2 linked regions of the Callithrix jacchus genome follow. The protein of the gene in region 2 purifies or fractionates together with the protein of the main gene of each other region. This does not show direct contact. Links are inferred from orthologs where the notes say so. Each region holds a gene or a part of one and is shown on either strand. Other genes may lie near its edges.

Region 1 (3,500 bases), on a different chromosome or scaffold from region 2:
AGCAGGAAGGGCAAGAAAGGAGACCTGTACTTAGCACTCTGACCAGCACTCCCCTGCCCTCCCAGCTCCCTGAGGTGCACACCAACAGCTGTGACAACATCTCCCAGTTCTCTGTGGACAGCATCACCAGCCAGGAGAGCAAGGAGCCTGTGTTCATTGCAGCAGGGGACATCCGGTATGGCCAGATCACACTGCCCCTCGTTTTTCCTCCCTCTTTCAGGCACTTCCCGTCTCTTTGTTACCTTCTTATCCGTCTCAGTCATCTATTGTTGGCCTGTGTCTTTCCCTCTTCTATCATTCTGTCCTTATTTGGGGCCACCAAACTTGAGGCAATGAAGGTGTGTATAGGTTGAAAAATTACTTGGGCTACCAAAGAAGGAAATTAAATTTTAAAAGGATTCCAAAGGGATGAAAGCACCAGAGGAAGGAACTCAAGCAGTGCGTCTCAAAGCGACGTGTGTCAGAATCCGGGGAGAGGAAGGAGGCCTTGTTGAAAATGCAGATTCTAGAGTCACGCCCTGTTCTGAATCAGTGTTGGTAGTGGAATATGGAGGGCCTGGTAATCTTAATTTTAACATGATTACAGTCACTAAGTTAGCAAAAAGGTGTCACTGGTTATCTTTCCTTCTGTGAGTCCCTTTCAGCCTGGGTTGCTGTCTTCGTGTGCCCAGAATCCAGGACACAGTGCAGGAAATGTCAGTATAGATGGGCATGAGGTTGGGGACACGTCCTCAAGCAAATGATGTATTTTCTTCTTGCCAGCCGGCGCCTTTCGGAACAGCTGGCTCACACCCCAACAGCCTTCAAACGAGACCCAGAAGATCCTTCTGCAGTTGCTCTCAAAGAGCCCTGGCAGGAGAAAGTGCGGTGAGTTGGGTGGTGGGGTCTCTGAACCCCTCTCAGAGAGAGAGCCCTGGCAGGAGAAAGTGCGGTGAGTTGGGTGGTGGGGTCTCTGAACCCCTCTCAGAGAGAGAGCCCTGGCAGGAGAAAGTGCGGTGAGTTGGCTGGTGGGGTCTCTGAACCCCTCTCAGAGAGAGAGCCCTGGCAGGAGAAAGTGCGGTGAGTTGGGTGGTGGGGTCTCTGAACCCCTCCCTCTCAGAGAGCCCTGGCAGGAGAAAGTGCGGTGAGTTGGGTGGTGGGGTCTCTGAACCCCTCTCAGAGAGAGAGCCCTGGCAGGAGAAAGTGCGGTGAGTTGGGTGGTGGGTCTCTGAACCCCTCTCAGAGAGCCCTGGCAGGAGAAAGTGCGGTGAGTTGGGTGGTGGGGTCTCTGAACCCCTCTCAGAGAGCCCTGGCAGGAGAAAGTGCGGTGAGTTGGGTGGTGGGGTCTCTGAACCCCTCTCAGAGCTCAGAGGCAGTTGCAGGTGCTCACTGCACCAACTTTACTGTCTGTCAGCCTCCAAAAAAGGCTGTCAGACTCCCAGGCTGTGTGGGTCCTTGCCCTACGGGGCATTTGCTTTGGATTTTAGGTGGAAGCCACGTTTCTTGTCCTCACTCTGGCATCGACCTTTGGCACCGTTTACTTCTGTCTTCACAGGCGGATCAGAGAGGGCTCCCCCTACGGGCATCTCCCCAATTGGCGGCTCCTGTCGGTCATTGTCAAGTGTGGGGATGACCTTCGGCAAGAGCTGCTGGCCTTTCAGGTGTTGAAGCAACTGCAGGTAAGAGAAGAGAAGGAGAGAGAAGGGGAACTCAGCCCAACACCAGCCCACCTGAGGTGACTACACAGATTATTCTTCTGGGGACCACTTCCTGCCCAGGTCTAAAACAAAGGCAGGGTAAAGAAAAGCTAGTGCTCCTTTTCCCTAGGAAGCTTGGCCATAGGAACAGCTCCACAGCGGCCTCTTTTGGCCCTTTTGAGACCTGCACCTACCCTGTTCCAAGTCTGAACTTTAGAGTGCTAGGTTTGCCTTTTAGATGAAAACTTCCAAAATGTCCTGGCACCCTGGCTCAGGCCTGTAGTTTCAGCTAGTCAGGAGACTGAGGCGGGAGGGTGGCTTGAGCCCAGGAATTCTGGGCTGTAGTGTGCTATGCCAGTTGGGTGTCTGCACTAAGTTCAGCATCAGTATGGTGACCTCCTGGGAACAGAGGACCACCAGGTTGCCTAAGGGAGGGGCAAACTGGCACAGGTCAGAAACAGAGCAGTTCAGAACTCCCATGCTGATCAGTAGCAGCATCCAGACCGTGAATAGCCACTGCACTCCAGCTTGGGCAACAGACCCTGTCTCTAAGAAAAATACACGTTTGAAGAAATCAGCATTTCTAAACCGAAGCAAGCCAAAAAGAAAATTTTGCTGGGACAAAGTTTAGTGACCCACTTTCTCCTAGTGTTAAGACCAATTTATTTGTACAAGGTACTGAGATTATTTTCAAGAAATAGCTGTCACATCTCAAGGGGAAGATCAAAATGTGAACAGTTTACTAATGCACTACTGAAGTTTAAATCTGTGGCACAATCATTGTAAACATGGGGCTCATTTCTCTAAATTGATTTCTAATCTGAAATGACTAGAAAACTTCTTTTCCCATTTTTGCAAACTCAAATATCTGGTTTTTGGTATAAGATAGCCATTATTCAAACTTAATGCCTCTAATTTTAATGCCAACACAGTTGGTTGTAATCAAATTTTAAAATAATAATTTGGTCCTCCTCCCTTTAAAAAAAAAAACAAAACATAAAAACCTTCCCAAGTGGTCTGTAGCAGGTGGGTTATAGTGTGCTGAGGTATTGATCTGATCCCTCTGGGTTGGTCACCTGCAAGCCACTTAATCTGTTTAATACTGTTCGTTATAGCGTGTAAATATTTTCGTTTTCCAGAGACATCTTCTCTGGACCTAAATCCTTTCCTTTCCTTTTTCTTTTTCTTTCTTTTTTTTTATTTTTTGAGAGCGTCTTGCTCTGTCACTCAGGCTAGAGCGCAGTGGTGCAATCTTGACTCACTGCAACCTCCACCTTCTGGGTTCAAGAAATTCTCCTGCCTTAGCCTCCTGAGTAGCTGGACTTACAGGCATGCACCACTATACCCGGCAAATTTTTGTATTTTTAGTAGAAACAAGGTTTCGCCATGTTGGCCAGGCTGGTCTTGAACTGACCTCAGGTGACCCACCTGCCTCAGCCTCCCAAAGTGCTGGGATTATAAGCATAAGCCACCGCACGTGGCCTCTTTCTTCTTGTTTGAACTTATGGCTCCCATTGTCCCTGCTTGAGAAGGGATAGTGCAGTGTCCGGTTCTCCCTGCCTCTTTTGGAGGTATCACGTGATACCTTTTCCCACTGAGTGTAGCTTCCTGACTTTGTCAGTCCCTAGACTCCTTTCGAAACTCGCTGGTCCTCGCTGGATTAAGAGAGCCTTACTCACTTGATGGCTTAGAATCCAATGCCACCAAGGAGAGAGGTTGGAGAAAAGGGGACGTTTTAGCCTCCTTCTCTAGTCTGGAGAAAGATAAGAGTCCTGTATCCCCCATGTCTCCTCACAGTCCATTTGGGAACAGGAGCGAGTGCCC
Region 2 (4,226 bases):
GAGGAATCCCATGCCACACATTTTGCTGTCCCCAGCATTCCCCCTCCAGGCTCTCCTCTGGTGTCACTCTAGGGTAGAGACAGGGGACATCACTAACATCTGCAGGGCAAGCCCCCCTCATCAGGACCCCAGGGGAGGGGCAGCCCTGGCAGGAGATAAAGGGATAAATCCTGGCCATTGCCCTTGACTCCCGTCCCCACCAGGGGGTGCCCGCAGTCCTGCGGTCCTAGGACTGGGGAGTTTAAGGTCAAGGACAAGCTGTAGCCTTCCCTCCCTCCCTGGCATAGGGGCAGCCTGGAGAGGGCCCACCCCAATTGCACTGGGCCAGCTTAGGGGGCCTCCAAGCTGCCCTTGGCAGGTGCTGGGTCCTCCCGTTCCCTATTGGGGTGGGCCGTGGAGATGGGGGGTCTGGCCTGCATTGGGGAACATGCAGCAAGAGGGGCCTTGGCCCAGGAGCGGGCACTTGATGGAAAGAAAGAAGACAGAGGCGCAGCGGCAAGTTTCTGTACAGGAAGTCAGATTATACATTTTAGTAATGGGTGAGGGGACAGGGATGGGGGGCAACAGTGCAGGGGCCACAGGGAGAAGAAGAGGTCGAGAGCTGGGGTTTGGCATAAATCTTACAAAGTGTATAAAGAATCTGTGTTTCTCTACAATAACAAAAACCAAAGGCTACAAGAGCGGTTGTATATACAAAACATGGAGATATTGCTTCACTTGCAAACAGGTTCCAGACCAGAAGGGAAACGAGACAGAGGAGGGGGAGCGGGAGGGCCGAGAGGGCACGCTGCGTGCAGGAGATGGGTGGGGGAGAGGGTGACGGGCTTCTCCCTGCATCAATCAACAGGCAGAGGTGGGAGGCCTGTGCGAGCTGCTATGCGCGGAGGAGCGGGTGGGTGCCGAGAGCCTGGGGAGTTCCACCTGCCCTGGACCCCACTGCCTGGTTCTTCAGGCTTTGGCCTGGAGCAGGGTTCTGGGTGGGGATGATGGGCTGGGTCACCCAGCCACAGAGAGAGGGAGGCAATCACTCCCTGGAGTCTGCCGAGGAAAAGGAGAGAAGCCGGCACCATGAGCCCGTCCTTCTCACCTCTGGCCAGCCCTGTCCATCCTGCCACCCTCCCCACCCGGCCAAGACGCCCGAGGGGACCCGAGTTGGGTGGGTGCAGCAAAAAGGGGCTTCTAGCTTTTTCCCAGGCAGGACGGGGGTAGCACTGGCTCCTGTCCGTCCTGGGCCCCGGCCATGCAGAGCTCACTGGGAGGGCTGGAGCGAGCCGGCCACAGAGAGACAGCAGGGAGGGGCCGGAGGACACCATGGCAGGGGCGGACGGAGGCGCAGGGGTCACAGGTTCTGGCAGCACTGCAGCTTGTTGGGCTTCTGTCCATCTGTCGTGGGCGGCACGCTGATGTCCACCACGTTGTTCCCAGGGGACTCGTCATGGGCAGCACGGTCTGCGATCTGTTTCTGTGACACGATGCGGTAGATCTCTGCCAAGGGGGCACAGGGGGACGTCGGGTGAGCCAGCGTGTGCCCTGCCTGCTGAGGGGGCCCCTCCCTGCAGGACTCCAAAGCTCCTCTCCAGGCCCCCACAGCACCCCCATCACATCGGGGTAACAAGGTCAGGGCTGCGCACCCAGCCAGGGCAGGACCCACATCTGGTCAGAGCCAGCCCTGGCCTCTCGCTCCCTAAGGCCAGAAGCACCCTTCTCCCTCAGAGGTAAACTCCCAGAAGCCAAAGGGCTACAGGTCCCTGAGGCCACCCGCCTCCCCCAAGCGCCAAGAGTCAAGGTAGGGCCCCTCTCCAGGAACTGGGACTGGGCGGGGTGGGTTGTCTCTGTGTCCCCAGTGCCAGCAAGGGCTAAAGCTTGTCTGACCCTGTGAAGTGCCCATGTGGGTCGGCAGGTTTAACAAACAAAGGTTAGGGGCGGTGGTGGAAAAAAGATGAAACAAATAGGCCAGGTGCAGTGGCTCACACCTGCAATCCCAGCACTTTTGGAGGCCGAGGCAGGCAGATCACTTGAGCCCAGGAGTTTGAGACCAGCCTGGCCAACATGGTGAAACTGTCTCTACTGAAAACACAAAAATTAGCTGGGTGCGGTGGCACGTGCCTGTAATCCCAGCTACTCAGGAGGCTAAAGCAGGAGAATCACTTGAACCTGGGAGATGGAGGTTGCAGTGAGCTGAGATTGAGCTACCACATTCCAGCCTGGGCAAAAGAGCAAGACTCCGTCCCCTCATGACAAAAAAAGAAAGAAAGAAAGAAAGAAAGCAAAAATCAAACAAACAAAACAGTGAAGGTTCAGAGTGCTCCTGTTCCACCCTGCCTGGCTGGCGCCCTACCCACACCCATCCAGTCCCGGGGCTACCTGTGAGGATATTCTTGAAGGCTTCCTCTACGTTGGTGGAATCCAAGGCCGAGGTTTCGATGAAGGACAAGTTGTTCTTTTCTGGAACAGAGAATAATGCCCAGGTGAGCTGGGAGGCGGGGTGATGCTCCCACACACTCTCAGGGACCCCGCTCACCCACCTGGCCCAGGACACAAGCCACTCCTCAGGGAAGGGACACCAGAGCTGTGGCCAGGTCCCCCACACTGAGGGGGTGTCTTGCCTTCCACACACCTCTCTGATGCCTGTGTCTCCATCTGCTCACCTGCGAAGGCCCGGGCCTCGTCGGTGGGCACAGCCCGCAGGTGGCGCAAGTCACTCTTGTTCCCCACCAGCATAATGACGATGTTGCTATCTGCATGGTCCCGAAGCTCCTTCAGCCAGCGCTCCACGTTCTCGTAAGTCAGGTGCTTGGCGATGTCATATACCAGCAGGGCGCCCACAGCACCGCGGTAGTACCTGCAGGGTCAGGGGCCCATGAGCCGCTCTGAAGGGGGACTGTGGGCAGTGGCAGCCTCCTGGGATAACAGCACATGTCACGCCCAGGGCTAACCATTGTGGCCTCAAGAGAAGGGTGTGTGTCTAGAGGCCCCAGCTCTGCTCCCTGGATCCAGCTCTGAAATGTGGGGGCCTGAGGAGGGAATGTGGGGAGTGGGGGTAGAAGATACCATGAGGTCATCAAAAAAAGGGAAGAGGCCGGGCGCTGTGGCTCAAGCCTGTAATCCCAGCACTTTGGGAGGCCGAGGCGGGTGGATCACGAGGTCAAGAGATCGAGACCATCCTGGTCAACATGGTGAAACCCCGTCTCTACTAAACATCAAAAGATTAGCTGGGCATGGTGGTGCGTGCCTGTAATCCCAGCTACTCAGGAGGCTGAGGCAGGAGAATTGCCTGAACCCAGGAGGCGGAGGTTGCGGTGAGCCAAGATCACGCCATTGCACTCCAGCCTGGGGGACAGAGCAAGACCAGTCTTTCAAAAAAAAAAAAAAAAAAAAAAAAGCTGGGGTGAAGGAAACTGCAGCTGTGCAAAGAAAAGGCCACTGCCTACCATGCAGGGCCAGACTCAGCCCACTGAGGAGACAGACACCTAATCTCAGCACTTTGGGAGGCTGAGGTGGGAGAATCGCTTGAACTCAGGAGGAATTCAAGGCTGAAGTGAGCTATGATCGCACCACTGCACTCCAACCTGGGCAACAGCAAGACCCTGTCTTTCAAAAAAATAAGGCTGCGCATGGTGGCTCATGCCTGTAATCCCAGCACTTTGGAAGGCTGAAGCGGGGGGATCACAAGGTCAGAAGTTCGAGACCATCCTGGCCAATATGGTCACTACTAAAAATACAAAAATTAGCCAGGTGTGGTGGCAGGTGCATGTAATCCCAGCTACTTAGGAGGCTGAGGCAGGAGAATCGCTTGATCCAGGGAGGCGGAGGTTGCAGTGAGCTGTGATCATGCCACTGCACTCCAGCCCGGGTGACAGAGCAAGTCTCCATCTCAAAATAAAATAAATAAATAAATAAACAAACAAATATATTAAAATAATATAAGCCAGGCATGGTGGTGCATGCCTGTAGCCCCAGCTACTCAGGAGGCTGAGGCAGGAGGATCGCTTGAGCCTGGGAGATTGAGGGTACAGTGATCTGCGATTGTGGCACTGCACTCCAGCCTGGGCGACAGAGCAAGACTCTGTCTGTCTCGAAAAAAGAGATGACAGATAGACAGATGCACCTGAGGAATGAAGAAGATGGGAGCCGAGGACCTCGAGGCGACAGAGAGACCATGGTGGTGGGAGCATGGGGGCTTGGGAGGGGTACTGAAAAAGGCAGCTGAGTGGGTCCTGATGTCT

The links. Proteins that work in one complex are often made in the same cells at the same time.
Region 1: the proteins of RAB11B (region 2) and PI4KB purify together in Homo sapiens (co-immunoprecipitation; 3 studies listed by BioGRID and IntAct, with this or other methods). This does not show direct contact. The link is inferred for Callithrix jacchus from reciprocal best matches to the Homo sapiens genes RAB11B and PI4KB.

The regions. Positions count from the first base shown.
Region 1 is NC_133519.1:11,196,867-11,200,366, reverse strand, and holds part of PI4KB (phosphatidylinositol 4-kinase beta), read left to right. Parts: intron 1-65; coding exon 66-175; intron 176-762; coding exon 763-867; intron 868-1,534; coding exon 1,535-1,658; intron 1,659-3,473; coding exon 3,474-3,500. UniProt on the Homo sapiens protein: Phosphorylates phosphatidylinositol (PI) in the first committed step in the production of the second messenger inositol-1,4,5,-trisphosphate (PIP). May regulate Golgi disintegration/reorganization during mitosis, possibly via its phosphorylation.
Region 2 is NC_133523.1:7,923,744-7,927,969, reverse strand, and holds the end of RAB11B (ras-related protein Rab-11B), read right to left. Parts: intron 2,843-4,226; coding exon 2,649-2,842; intron 2,446-2,648; coding exon 2,365-2,445; intron 1,486-2,364; coding exon 1,340-1,485; 3' UTR 501-1,339; downstream 1-500. UniProt on the Homo sapiens protein: The small GTPases Rab are key regulators of intracellular membrane trafficking, from the formation of transport vesicles to their fusion with membranes.